2 linked regions of the Macaca fascicularis genome follow. The protein of the gene in region 2 binds, or shares a complex with, the protein of the main gene of each other region. Links are inferred from orthologs where the notes say so. Each region holds a gene or a part of one and is shown on either strand. Other genes may lie near its edges.

Region 1 (7,008 bases), on a different chromosome or scaffold from region 2:
AGGGGGTGGGCACCGCAACCTTGAGGTTCTGCCTCTGAGGGGCGGTCTGGATCCCGCCCCTTCAGAGCCTGGAGCCAGGAAAATCTGAGTGGCAGCGCTGCCATCCTCCTGACTGTGACTGTAGGGAGTCTGGGGAGGACACTGTATGGTGGGGGCAGAGAAGGAGCTGCAGGAGGGAGCCCAATCCCTGCAAATAGGGGGCCTATTCCTAGTGGGTCAGCACAGGGGACACCCAAGACTGGCAAAAAGTGATGGTACCGATGCTCCCAGTGTGTTGCTGGGGACTGGGGGTGCCCGACTCAGGAGTAAGACAAGTCAGTGTAGGGTCAAACAATATAGGTCGGGGGGGGCTCACCCAGGATGGGGAGCCTGGCAACACATTCTTGGCAAGCACTCCAATTCGGCTAACTACGCTCTTCCCCTCCCCCTCAGCAGGCCTTCAGCCAGGGCGAGCGGTGTGGGTGAGCGTGAGGGCACCCAGTTTGGGAAGGTTGTGGGAAGAGTCCGCCCTGAGCACCTGCAGGCGCCCACTCCCACCTCAGGCTGTGCCCTCAACGCGCTCCTCCACACTCTTCTGCACCCCCTCCCCCGCTGTCCCAGAACACAAAGCAGCTTCTGTCCAGAGCATCGGTGCCGATAATCCGGGTAGGGGCACATTCCTCGGACCAGCCCCGACCGGCCCAGAGGATTAGCATCTCTCCCCTTGCCCAAAGGATTAGCATCTCAGACCCCCACTTGGGCATTAACCACCCCCCAAGTGAACTCGTAAATTCCACAGCTCTTCCATGTGGAACTGGCGGGGGAAACCAAGCGGGATAAAGTAGACCCTGGATTTCAGGCAGTGCCGTCTCTCACACCCAGCACAGAACTCCCCGCCTAGACAAACCGACCCCGGGAGTCAGGTCCAACTCTCCGGGCTCGTCTTTCCCATCCCCACCCAGCTGCTCCCTCTTCTGCCTGACCCCTTGTCCCGACCTTACCCGCCACCCGCCTTTCCTGGCTTCGCCTCCCAACCCGGAGACTGGGGATGGAGGCCCCGGGCAACCCCCAGTCTGGGCGCCCCGGACGGGACTGAAGGACTATGCGGGGTGGCCGGAGGGGAGGGATGGTCTGGAGCCAGCCGGGGAGTGGGAGGGCCGGCGGCTCCTCAGGGAGACTACCCACTCCTGGTGGCAGGGGGCGCGGCACCATGGCTTTAGGGAACTCTGAGAAAGGGACCCCGGAATGCCCGCCTCCGACCAGCACTCCATCCGCCTCCTCATCCTTCTCCCCAAGACCGCGGTTCCCCGCGCCCCAGTCTCCGCCCTTTCCTCCACTTCCACTCCCTCCCTGCTCGAGTCCCGAGTTCCCCCCTCTCCTTCCCCCTCCCTTCCTCCCTCCGCGGCCCTGGCCCTCCCCCGCCACCGCCTCTCCGCTTACCCGCTCGCTCTGGACTTCGTGCCCCGGGGGTCTCGGGGTCTCTCCCCGTCCTCCGGCACCCTCGCGCGCTCCCGACTACTGCCCCGTGCCCACCCCGGGGCGCGCCCCCGCCGCTCCCAACTTCTCCCAACTCAACTTTCCCCCGCGCCACGGGCAGGCCAGCCCCCTGCGTGCGCGCCCCCCGGCGCACCGTGCGCGGTCCCGCCGCCGCGGGTGGGGAGGCGGGAGCGGGGGCAGGGGCGGGGGCGCGCTTCCAGGCACAGCCCGGCACCAGGGGCCGCCCCCGCCGTCCCTCTGCCCCAAGCTTCCCCACTCCGGGCTTGGAAGCCCCGAGGATGCCGTCTCTTGGCTCCATTACGGCACCTCTGGGTGGAAAGGAGCCCGCCTCACGCTACGGATCCCAGGCAGTAAAACGCAGGCACAAGGAAATTCGGAGAAGTCGAAACATAAACGTATCGGGATTGAGATTCTCTTGCGGCCCCCCTCCCAAATAACCCCCGTGCCTCCAAGAAAGCCCCTGAGGGACGGTGGCGAGCAGGTGAGAAGGGTGACAGCGGCTGGAAGCTGGCTGCCCAGTACCCTGAGCTGATCTGGGAGAGGGCAACTTGTTAGGGGCTCCCCACTTCCTGAGAGGGACAGAGATTCGCTATGGTGGCCTCCTTCCTCTTGAATGGAACCTCCACACTGAATCGAACCCTAGTCATAGTCATCACTTATCATTCAAGACCTGTGTGTAGTTCTTGTTTGCCCAACGAAATCACAAAGTCTTCCAGATAAGGAATGTACTTTTCGCTTCTTTTCTCTTGTGTATGCAAAAGCATTCAGATAGAAACGAGTTAATTAACACGTGTTTGGCAGTAACTCTGGTTCCGGTGCCGAGGAGTGCTGTTTGGGATCCTTTTCCCTCGGTCCGTAGCCCTCAAGAATGCAATCATGAGACAATTAGAGAGGCAGCGCAAGGGAATCTATAATCAACTCCTTTAAGGGATGAGGTAGAGGCTGCTGCAAGTTGAGCATCGGTCTGTGGTCTTGTCTGTGGAGGGGGTTAACCAACCTGCCGGCCACACCCTGGCTGACTCCAGTGGGCCCCGTTCCGGAGACTGGGGTCTGGGGGGACCTCCAGGGCTCCACCCAGCTTTTCTCAGCATGTCAGAGTTCAGCGGCTGGAGTCGGGTGGGCTCCGAGACAACAAACGGGGCCCAGCAGAGAGAGGGGTCTTTGGCGTGTGTCCCTCCACTAAAATCCAGCCTCAAAGGGGCACAGCTGTTCTCTTCCCAGCCCTGCGGTCAGCTGTTCCCTGTGAGGTCATCATCGCTCACATGCATTCCCCAGTGAATCCTGGTGTCACTAGGTGGCTTGGGGAGAGGTGGAGGAAACCCGTGCTGAGGTCGTCAAGAGGCCGTTGGGAACTCAACGCCACCAACCAGGTCAGAGCTGGGCCGCCAAGGCTCGGGATCTAGGCCGCCAAACCCCAAACCCCTAACCGAGAGCGCTCCGCCCCCATCCCCGCTGCATTCTGGAACGCGTAGTCCCGGAGCAGCCCTTTTCAAGAAGGCTGGGAGCACATAAAAGGAATAACAACAGCGGGGCACGCTGGGAACCGCGGCGCCGCGGCGGGGCGCCCGGAAAACGGACACGCGTTGCTCCCTGGGACTTGAAGTCCAGGGTTTTGCCTCCGCGGTGGAACCGGAGCCCTGGAGTCTAGTGCTGCAGAGAGCGTGAGCGCAGACGGCTGGGGTTTGTAGTCTTCTTGTCCTCGGTCTCGGGCACTGCGGGGAGACCTTGTTGTCTTAGGACTACAAGCCCCAGAAGGTACTGCGCGGCCAGGCGGGGCGGGGCTGGAGGCTCGGGTGCCGCCTCCTCTGCAACGCCGGGGCCAGAGTCTTAAAACCGAGGGCCCGCAGGGGTCCCCGCGGCCGCCGCGATGCAGAAATACGAGAAACTGGAAAAGATTGGGGAAGGTAATGGAATCTCAAGATGTTCCTGCAAGAGCCCCTCTGCAGATCCTTCGGCATTCCTTGCAGCCCTGGCTCCCTTACCGTCAGCAATACCTACAGGCTCCGACCTCAGCAGCGGCTGCAGCCCTGGCCCCCGAGCTCAGCACTCCGTGCAGACACCAGTCTTCCCGGTGTTAGCATTTCCCGCAGGCTCTCACTCCAACCTTAGCGTTCCCAGTAGACCCGACCTCCCAACCGCGACACTTCCTGAATTTCTCACCCCAGCCTCAGCACCACTTGGACAACCTCACCCCGAGCCCCAGCCTCGGTTCTTGCTGCAGACCTCCAACCTCAATATTTCTGCAGCCCGTCAGTCCTCTCCCAGGCCCCTCCTCACCATTTCCAGACCCTTCCGGAGCACCGCCTTCATTTTAGACATCCTTGCCCTCGCAGCCGCACTCGCCCCTCCTGCTGAGCCCCTGGAGCCTCCGCGGGCACCTTCTCCTCCCTCCTCACCTGCCACATCCTCACTCACAAAGCTCACCCACCTACCTTCACCCTGAATCCCTTTCTTTGCATATTCAGACGCTGCCTTCACCTCCCGGGAGGCATTTCCTGGCTTAGGGAAGAGTGCCGCATCCTCCCCCTGACCCCTGACCTCCTTCCCCTAGGCACCTACGGAACAGTGTTCAAGGCCAAAAACCGGGAGACTCATGAGATCGTGGCTCTGAAACGGGTGAGGCTGGATGACGATGATGAGGTAGGACTGGGGACTGAGATAGGGCCTGGAGAGGGGGTTGAGGGCCTGGGCTGGGTGGGATCTGACTGCTGCCCACCCGGCCCCCTCACATATGCAGGGTGTGCCGAGTTCTGCCCTCCGGGAGATCTGCCTACTCAAGGAGCTCAAGCACAAGAACATCGTCAGGTGTGCGGGAGGCGGGTGCTCCTTGCCGGTGTGGCCGCTTGGGGGAGGCGGGGGCTGACACTGGACGTCTGTCAGGCGGACCTGCATGGCTGAGCCCTTCTTTTGCCCTAGGCTTCATGATGTCCTGCACAGTGACAAGAAGCTGACTTTGGTTTTTGAATTCTGTGACCAGGTGAAAGGCGGGGTTTGGGGGACAGTAGCCTTGGGAAGGTATAGGGGCCCAGACTGAGGTTAAACTCTGTCCCATTCCCCCACTCATATCCCTTTTCAGGACCTGAAGAAGTATTTTGATAGTTGCAATGGTGACCTTGATCCTGAGATTGTAAAGGTGAGGAGAGTGGTGTTGGGGGACCCCTCAGGCTGGGGTCAGAGTCTGCATTCAGTGTAAGCACTCCTTGGGCTCTAACTTTGGGCCCTGAACAAGGACGCTCTGGGATGTCAGAGAATGAGAAAACCCTGTTTCTGCCCTCTAGGAGCCTCCAGTCTTAGCAAACATTTTCACGTGGTCGTCTTTGACCCACACAGTGGCACTCTGACGTCAGTGATAGTATTTACATTCAGAGATGAGAAAATGAGGTTCAAGGAGATACACTCATTCATTCAATACATACTTACTGAATGCTTCACTGTGTGCCAGGTGCTCTTCTAGGCCCAAGACCAAATGCCTTGGTCCAGGTTCCAGGGGAGCCAGTCCTGAATGATACTACAGCATGATATTTATGTGCTGTAGTATCGTGTGCATACTCAGATGCCGCCAGGAAGGGAAGATCAGCATGGGCTAGGATCTAGGCGGGATCTAGGATCCACCTGGCAAGGCCCATTAGGCTATATGGTCCAGGAAGATGGGGACCAGGGCCAGTTTCTTCACTCTTGTCCCTCTAATGCCTAGTACAGTATAAAGCAGGTTCTGGATGGCGAATGAATGGTGTCACTCTGAACCAAGTGCTGAAAGGTGGGTGGGGTGGAGTGAAGCACAGGGTGAGGAGAGGAGCCACCCATTGCTGGGCACAGTTGCATGTTCAGGGCGTCTGACTCCCTTCTGCCTGCTCTCCTCCCAGTCATTCCTCTTCCAGCTACTGAAAGGCCTGGGATTCTGTCATAGCCGCAATGTGCTACACAGGGACCTGAAGCCCCAGAACCTGCTAATAAACAGGGTACTTCTTGGGAAGAAGGTGGGGAGTGGGAAGCCTGGGGCCAGGGCATGGGGAGCACGGAGGGAAGAGGACTGGGAGGATGGAGTCTGTGCTGTCCCAAGGCTGCTTAAAGGCCCTTCTCCATGTCCCCTTCCCATTCCCCTCAGAATGGGGAGCTGAAATTGGCTGATTTCGGCCTGGCTCGAGCCTTTGGGATCCCTGTCCGCTGTTACTCAGCTGAGGTGAGCTAGGAGATGGGATATGGGATTGGGGGAGGGAGTCCCTCAGCTCCAACCCCAGGACCCAAAACACTATTTTCCTCTCCTCTCTGAGCCTCCTCCTCAAACCTCCTCCCCAGCCCTCTAAGTGGGAGTCCCCTGTCGGGGGGCGGTCTCCTCCAGGTGGTCACACTGTGGTACCGCCCACCGGATGTCCTCTTTGGGGCCAAGCTGTACTCCACGTCCATCGACATGTGGTCAGCCGGCTGCATCTTTGCAGGTGACGTGCTGGGGCGCTCCAGAGGCACCTTCTTTCCCATTTGGGTTGACAAATAGGGTCTGGAGGGTTCCCTCTAGGGGAAGGGAGGGAGGCTCTGGGACTGGGGCTGGAAGGTCAGGGGGCACCTCAGAGTGAGGGGTCCTTCACATGTCACATCTTATCCCCCTATCTGCTCCCCAGAGCTGGCCAATGCTGGGCGGCCTCTTTTTCCCGGCAATGATGTTGATGACCAGTTGAAGAGGATCTTCCGATATCCTTGTTTTCCTCTGCCTTGAGCCCTCTGGGAGGGGACAGCCCATGGAGTTTTGAGTGCAGTGGGTGAGGGCAGTGATGGTGTGGGGTGGGGTGTTGGGGTCTGTAGGGCTTCTCTTGAGGGCAAGGGGAGACAGCAGAGGTGCTGGACACCCTGATTGTCACAGTGCAGATACACACTGGAGAAGGTATGGCTTGGAGACAGGCAGTGTGCCCTGGGGGGCAAAGCCAAGAGGGTGTCCCTCCAGGTGAGAGATGGATGCCAGGATGAAGGAGCCAAAGACAGCAGGACACATTTTGTGGGAGCGGGGCAAGGACCAGTTCATTAGGACTAGGACAGCAGCATGTGGGTTAGACTAGTTAGTGATTGTCATGGGAAACGTGGTTGGATGTACGAGTGACGTGCCCGGGGTTGCTTCTGTCAAGCTCAAGCCAGAGGGTAAAGGGAGGGTGAGAGAAGTAGGTGGTGGGTATGAGGAATCCTCCCCGGGAGGGGAAGAGGCCCTCACCCTGCCCCTGAAGATGCAGCTGTGGCCCTTTCCCAAGTGATCCTTGACTCCGTGGACACGCTGCTGGGGACGCCCACTGAGGAGCAGTGGCCCTCTATGACCAAGCTGCCAGACTATAAGGTGTGATGGGGAATTGGGGGGTCATGGTTCATCAGGGTCACTCTTGTTTCACATTCCTAGCAGCCTCCACCCCCCTCCCCCTACCTCTAGTCTGACCCTCCCTGCCTTTCCACAGCCCTACCCGATGTACCCGGCCACAACATCCCTGGTGAACGTCGTGCCCAAACTCAATGCCACGGGGAGGGACCTGCTGCAGGTAGGTGACTTGGGGTAGA
Region 2 (6,808 bases):
GTTTCTGGCAGTTGACTGCCCTTTCTTCCTTGCTTCCAGTTGGAGCAGTGATAGGAATTGGGGGTGGGGAGGTGGTGGTGGGTTGAGTGAAAAGAGGAGCTGTGTGGTGTCTGAAAACGAGCATAACAGGCATGGCCTGGGTAGGTAGGAGCTCCTGGAGACCCCTTCCCTCAGTCGCAGCAGTAAGTGGGCTGTCAGTGCCATTCCATTCCTGCTGTGCTGCAACTGTGACTTTGCTTGGACAAGTGTGAGGAGGCTGGTGTTCTGCCGAGAGCTCTTTTTGAAGGTGCTAGGGAAAGGCTGGCTGGACAAAGGTGAGAGGACACAGGGTGCGGCCTGGCTTGAAAAGGGCCATGCAGAGGCATGCCGCTCTGGTGTGGGAAGCAGGGTAGTGGGGTGAGCTTGGTCTGCTTCCCTGTGAATTAATTGGAATAGCTAGCATTGAGATTGAGAGTTAAAGGTAACAACAGAGTAGGCCCAGGTTTTTCTAGGGGGTGGATTTTTCTTTTTTTTAGCTGAAGTCTCACTCTGTCACCCAGGCTGGAAGGTAGTGGTGTGATACCGGCTCACTGCAACCACTGCCTCCCAGGTTCAAGCGATTCTCCTGCCTTAGCCTCCTGAGTAGCTGGGACTACAGGCGCCTGCCACCACGGCCAGCTAATTTTTTTTTTTAGTAGAGACGGGTTGTTCACCATGTTGGCCAGGCTGGTCTCAAACTCCTGACCTCAGGTGATCCACCTGCCTTGGCCTCCGAAACTGCTGGACACGGTGTGGCACCACGCCCCGCCGGGGTGGATTATAGGCTTCAAAATTTGGACATGTTTTGGGAAGTGGAAAACATTTAACCTTGGCTCAACACTAGAATCTGAAGGGGGGCACAGAGCCAACTCAGAAGCTAGAGGCTCCAAGTAGGGGCTGAGGAAAAGAGGCTGGGGTTCGGCTTTCCTTTGAGAAGGAAGAGGGACACTTGGTCAGGGTCTCAAAGGAGATTGTTTCTTCTGGCTCCTTTTTTTTTTTTTTTTTTTTTTTGAGATTTGCTCTTGTTTCCCAGGCTGGAGTGCAATGGTGCGATCTTGGCTCACTGCAACCTCCGTCTCCCAGGTTCAAGCAATTCTCCTGCCTCAGCCTCCTGAGTAGCTGGGATTACCGGCATGCGTCACCACGCCCGGCTAATTTTTTTTTGTATTTTTAGTACAGATGGGGTTTCACCATTTGGCCAGGCTGGTCTTGAACTCTTGACCTCAGGTGATCCGCCCGCCTCAGCCTCCCAAAGTGCTGGGAATTACAGGCATGAGCCACCATGTCTGGCCTCTTCTGGCTTCTTACTGTTAGATGCAGGAGGGTTGAGGACAGCTCCATGTGAAGAGCAGGTAGGCTTGTACACCAAGGAACATTCACAGGGAGGGGCACACTGAGCTGGGAGCCTGCCTTCCTCTTCTGAGTTCCCCTAACAGCTGCTGTGGATGTTCTGAAGGGCTGTGGACAAAGTTGTCCTCTGGGTACAGAGCAATGGACTTTCCACTGTATGCCTGCCCCCTAAGGTTCCTAAAGCCTGGAATTCCCATTGACAGAAATTTCTGAGTGGCACATAAACAAAATCCAGCACTTTCTGCCGTGATTGCAGCATTTTGAATGATGTCAGATTCCCATTCTGTTCCCCCTAGGGCAGTTGACAGGGCTGGTGCAGGGTGAAAGCCTAGTGGGCCAGAGTGGTCAGGTAATTGGGTGTCATCCTCTCCTCTGGAGTGCCACTACATCATCTCTAGGTCCAGAGATGATCTGGATTAAGACAGGGCTTAAGTCTCCTGTTTCCCAGGTTTGTGGTCAGTTTTGACTCAATCTTCAGAAACAAGGTAAAATAGTAAATGAACAACGGCCTTTGTGAAGGATCTGGATTCACATCCGACAGGAACAGCTCTTTGAGAACCAGAATTTTACTCAATTTCGCTAGCATCAAGTTCTTAAATTATACATACTTAGAACTGAAAACGTTTAAGAGGGTCAGAAAGCTGGCCAGAGGGGCAGTTGCTTCAGCTTTAATACAACAAAGAGGGCGAGTGGGAACTTCGAGGTCATATTTGTGACGGACTCAGGCTTGGCTCTTGGTGGCCCGGAACTGCTACGGGCCACGCTTCTCTGGCTTGGATTTCTGAGGCCCACTCGGGCCACGGGCATCTACCCCGGGATGAGGGAACGGAGGCCCCAGAAGGGTGGCCAGAAACGATGGGACTGTCCACTCGAGGTGCGCCTGGCACTTGGGAGGTCTCAGTAAAGGCTTCGCCTCTCCCCGCCCAGGGCCTTCTTTCCCGCGCTCCCTGGCTGCTTTCCACAGGGACGGGGATGTCAGGTGGAAGGAGGGAGCTACCGGCCCTGGCCTCGGCGGAGGGCTCCTCACCAGGGCCCGGGCGGCAGCCTCCGAGAGGGCGGGCCGCGCGCTGCCAGGGCAGGACTCGACCGAGAGCGCCCCCGCGGCCGGCAGCTGCGGGCGCCGCGGCGGGAACAAAGACAGCACGTGTCTGGGCGGGGCGCGGGCGGGGTCGGCCCTCAGCCCCGCCCTGCTCGGCGCCCGCCGAGCGTCAGCAGAGTTGGGCTGCGCGGGCGCCCGGGACTCTCAGGCGGCCGGGCTGCTGTTGGGCGGCGGCGCGGAGCCGGCGGCGAGCTGTGCGGGAGGGGCGGTCCCGAGGGGCGGGGCGGGCCGGCGCCGCGTGTCCCGCCGCCGCCGCCGAGTCCGGCTCCTAGATGGGGCCCGGTGCGTAGAGGTGCCTCCCGCTCGTCGCCGCGTCCTACCTGCACCGTGCGCGGCTCGAGCTGAGGACATCAACGGCCGCAACTCCCCGGCGAGACCAGGCCGGCGCGTGGACGGCGCGCGCGCCCCGCGAGGGAGGGCGCTGAGGCGCGCGCCGGGAGCGGGAGCGGGAGCGCGGCGGCGGCGGCAGCGGCGGCGGCGAAGGTGCGGGCGGCCGAGCCGGGGGGCGGGGCCGCGGCGCCTGCAGAACCTTGGACAGAAGCTGCCGAGCCGCAGCCACCGCCGCCGCCGCCGCCGTCGCCGCCGCCGAGCGCGGGCACAGCCGATCCCCGCCGAGCGCTCCCGAGCGCCGGGACCGCGGCGGCAGAGCCGCGGCGCGCATTGCGGAGGGCGCGGAGCGCAGGAGCTGCCGCCTGCCGGGTAAGCCTGCGCTGGGCGGCCGTCCTTGGCCCAGAGGAGCCGGGCCCGGGTCGCGCCCGTGCGGGGTGTCCAGGCGGGGGTCTTCGTCCGCCTCCGTCGGCGCCCGGGCCCCTCCCAGCTGCGCTTGGGGACCGCAGCGGCGGCGGCGGGCGGGGGTGCTGCAGTGGAGGCGGCGAGGCTGCGGCGCGGGGGCGCGGGGCCGCGGGTAGGGCCCGGGACTGGGGCCGCGGGGTCCGCGGAGGCGCGGGGCGGAGGGGCGCGGCGCGGAGCCCAGCTTGGCGCTAAGAACCATCTTGTTTTCCAGGCAGATCCAAGGGGGCAGCACGCTTCCCGGGAGCGCCCCCGCCTCCTCCCCGGGGCCACCGCAGGCTCCGTGAGTGGTTTTATCCCTCCGGCCGGCAGGCTGGGCGCGCAGGGGCGCGAGCCCCCGCCCGGCGCGCAGCGGCACCATGGGCACGGTGCTGTCCCTGTCCCCCAGCTACCGGAAGGCCACGCTGTTTGAGGATGGCGCGGCCACCGTGGGCCACTATACGGCCGTACAGAACAGCAAGAACGCCAAGGACAAGAACCTGAAGCGCCACTCCATCATCTCCGTGCTGCCTTGGAAGAGAATCGTGGCCGTGTCGGCCAAGAAGAAGAACTCCAAGAAGGTGCAGCCCAACAGCAGCTACCAGAACAACATCACGCACCTCAACAATGAGAACCTGAAGAAGTCGCTGTCGTGCGCCAACCTGTCCACATTCGCCCAGCCCCCACCGGCCCAGCCGCCCGCACCCCCGGCCAGCCAGCTCTCGGGCTCCCAGACCGGGGGCTCCTCCTCGGTCAAGAAAGCCCCTCACCCTGCCGTCACCTCCGCAGGGACGCCCAAACGGGTCATCGTCCAGGCGTCCACCAGCGAGCTGCTGCGCTGCCTGGGTGAGTTTCTCTGCCGCCGGTGCTACCGCCTGAAGCACCTGTCCCCCACGGACCCCGTGCTCTGGCTGCGCAGCGTGGACCGCTCGCTGCTTCTGCAGGGCTGGCAGGACCAGGGCTTCATCACGCCGGCCAACGTGGTCTTCCTCTACATGCTCTGCAGGGATGTTATCTCCTCCGAGGTGGGCTCGGATCACGAGCTCCAGGCCGTCCTGCTGACGTGCCTGTACCTCTCCTACTCCTACATGGGCAACGAGATCTCCTACCCGCTCAAGCCCTTCCTGGTGGAGAGCTGCAAGGAGGCCTTTTGGGACCGTTGCCTCTCTGTCATCAACCTCATGAGCTCAAAGATGCTGCAGATAAATGCCGACCCACACTACTTCACACAGGTCTTCTCCGACCTGAAGAACGAGAGCAGCCAGGAGGACAAGAAGCGGCTCCTCCTAGGCCTGGATCGGTGAGCACTGTAGCCTGCGCCATGGCTCAAGGATTCAATGCATTTTTAAAAATTTATTATTAAATCAGTTTTGTGTACAGTATGTGTCTAGCAAAGCCACCAAGGGCCTCACCTTTCCCACAGTCTCTCCCTGGGGTTTTTTCAGCCCTGCCAAGAACTCTGGGCACTTTTGAACTCACGAGCCTTGCGCAAAACCCAGAAGATGTATTCGGAGCCACCCAGGCCACTGACCTCCCACTTTGGGGAACTCAAAGAACTGACCTGCCCCTGCCGCCTGTGCCCTTGCTGGGTCCAGGGTAGGCGAGGCTGCCGGCTGCACCCTGTATGGCGCTAGAGAGGGGACTCTGGCTGCCTGACCCAGGGAGGAATTGGGGTTTCTGGTTGGAGGCCCTTTTCTGGCTCCTGTGTGGAGTTACTCGCTCTCCCAGAGGCTCCTGGAGCCATCCACCCTAACTGAGCTGCCAGTGGGGTCATGAGGCAGGATCCCCGCTGCGCTGGGACATCTTCAATCTAGGCGAGGCGAAGCTGAGCAGGTCTAGTGGAAAGACTGTGTCTGGTCGTTTGACCACACACCGCCCTGATTTGCTGTTTTCTTTTTTAGGGAGAAGGGCTTTCCTTTAGTGGAGAAATGGAACTCGCCCGTTGCCCCCTTGTCTGCTGCTCACAGCCGCATTGCTGGTATTGGCCGATGAGCTGCTTTGACTCATTACTTTTTCTCATTTTGGGTCCCAGCTAAAGAGGTGGGGTGAAGCTGGAGACGACTTTCCTGGGTGAATTTTTCTTTTGAATAATGCAGTGCAGTCGCCCTGTGGCAAATGCCAGGACAGCTGCAGGTGCCCATTAGCAACGCCTGCCTTCTGGGCAAGGTGAGGGATGCCATACCTTGAGACCAAGCCGGTGCCCACCTAAGGGCTAAGGCCTCTTGCTGGTGCACATGACATTTGTCCTGCAGAGCTGGGGGGAAGGCGATGTGGTGGCCCCACCCCCACCCCTGTTAATTTAAAGCTGTTTCCAAACAGTTGAGTTTCTTCTAAAGAGGAAGACTTGCCCCACAGGGACCAGTGAGACAGCTGGATCTTGGAGACAATTACAAGACGGGAGTGAGACTCCTGATTGCTCTGGAAGCCTGCTGATTTCTACAACTGATCATTTGCCGCTGCTGGTTTTGGTTTCCACCTTCCCCTACTGGCTGTAAAAACACAAATGTGTACTTTATTGATTTTCTTTCTCATTCTCCCGTATTGGTGGCTTGGGACTTGGGAGAGGGAGCAAGCCTTCCTCCATGGCCCGTCACTCTGCTGTGGAGAACAAAGACCAATGTGAAGACGCTACAGAGGATTCTGTCTTCCAGGCCCAGTCCCCCCAGGAGTGCTGGAATGGGGACCTGGGGTGGGGAGGCAGAGGGTCACTTTACATAGGATTAGGTTCAAGGTGGTTACCAATTTCAGCACAAGCACTACTGAAATTTACACAAAAAGAAAGCTGTGAAATTGAAGTCCCAGTGTTAAGAGTCCTGAAGCAGAACCTGGTGGCCGGAGGCATTCCCAGAGGTGGGGAAGAGAGCCTGCCCTGCCGGAGAGCAGCTGCCTGGCTGCACCTGAGGCCCAGCGGAGCCGTTCCTAGGACTGTCGGATAATCGGTGCAGCATTGGAAGGAGCCTGCGGCTGCTGGCACAGACTTCACACAGCACCTCCTCTCTGCTGGGTTTCCACACAGCCTGTCTTCAGATCCTGCTGCCGCGTGCGACCAGAGGTGGGATGCCCCTGGTGGCATGGAAGAGGGAGGGTCAGTGCCAAGTCTCAGGAGGAGGGCGCATGTGTGTATCACCTTCAGCTGGTGGAACCTGACCTGGAGTTGTGCGGTTACATTGCATCCACAGGATTCCAGTTGCGTGTCTGTTTCCTTCTCTTTCTCCGTATTTATTTTTTTATTCTTTGGAAGAGGTGGACATTTTGGAAGTGGTGGGGACTAAGGGAAGAACTCTATAGTTCCCTCAGTGTGAAGCCTGTCGTGTTCCCTCTCTTCCCTTGCACTGGTCATCAGTATTGTGTAAAGGAACAACTGATATACTTGAGTGTGCAAGCAAAGAACCCATTTGCCATGCTGCTATGAAGACTACTTTTAGAACAACAATAAAAAAAAAACCTACAAAAAAACCTTTATTCTTTAATTGTTGCTTTTACAGTGATATTGTGCATGCAAACCAGGAGCATTTTGTGTCTTAAGAAAAATAATCTTAGAACAGATGGCTGTGAAAATTACACCCATGCACA

The links.
Region 1: the proteins of CDK5R1 (region 2) and CDK5 are in contact, whole or in part, in a crystal structure (PDB 3O0G), measured with the Homo sapiens proteins. The link is inferred for Macaca fascicularis from reciprocal best matches to the Homo sapiens genes CDK5R1 and CDK5. Residues at the interface, in NP_003876.1 of Homo sapiens: Trp190, Gln193, Thr197, Pro198, Ala199, Phe203, Tyr231, Leu232, Ser235, Tyr236, Met237, Gly238, Asn239, Glu240, Ile241, Ser242, Tyr243, Pro244, Leu245, Lys254, Glu255, Trp258, Asp259, Cys261, Leu262, Ile265, Asn266, Ser269, Ser270, Met272; in NP_004926.1 of Homo sapiens: Leu37, Asp38, Glu42, Gly43, Pro45, Ser46, Ser47, Leu49, Arg50, Ile52, Cys53, Leu54, Lys56, Glu57, Val69, His71, Leu76, Arg120, Asn121, Val122, Leu147, Arg149, Ala150, Phe151, Gly152, Ile153, Pro154, Arg156, Cys157, Tyr158.

What each region holds. Positions count from the first base shown.
Region 1 is NC_088377.1:192,333,972-192,340,979, reverse strand, and holds the start of CDK5 (cyclin-dependent kinase 5), read left to right. Parts: upstream 1-3,297; 5' UTR 3,298-3,343; coding exon 3,344-3,380; intron 3,381-3,908; coding exon of another isoform or gene 3,909-3,935; exon of another isoform or gene 3,936-4,004; intron 4,005-4,027; coding exon 4,028-4,116; intron 4,117-4,213; coding exon 4,214-4,281; intron 4,282-4,392; coding exon 4,393-4,453; intron 4,454-4,552; coding exon 4,553-4,609; intron 4,610-5,339; coding exon 5,340-5,435; intron 5,436-5,581; coding exon 5,582-5,656; intron 5,657-5,815; coding exon 5,816-5,912; intron 5,913-6,092; coding exon 6,093-6,162; intron 6,163-6,732; coding exon 6,733-6,793; intron 6,794-6,908; coding exon 6,909-6,989; intron 6,990-7,008. Other genes in the region: uncharacterized protein, read right to left, coding at 3,909-3,935. UniProt on the Homo sapiens protein: Proline-directed serine/threonine-protein kinase essential for neuronal cell cycle arrest and differentiation and may be involved in apoptotic cell death in neuronal diseases by triggering abortive cell cycle re-entry. Interacts with D1 and D3-type G1 cyclins.
Region 2 is NC_088390.1:38,865,559-38,872,366, forward strand, and holds the start of CDK5R1 (cyclin-dependent kinase 5 activator 1), read left to right. Parts: upstream 1-2,991; 5' UTR 2,992-3,166; intron 3,167-3,474; 5' UTR 3,475-3,615; coding exon 3,616-4,539; 3' UTR 4,540-6,808. UniProt on the Homo sapiens protein: p35 is a neuron specific activator of CDK5. The complex p35/CDK5 is required for neurite outgrowth and cortical lamination. Involved in dendritic spine morphogenesis by mediating the EFNA1-EPHA4 signaling. Activator of TPKII.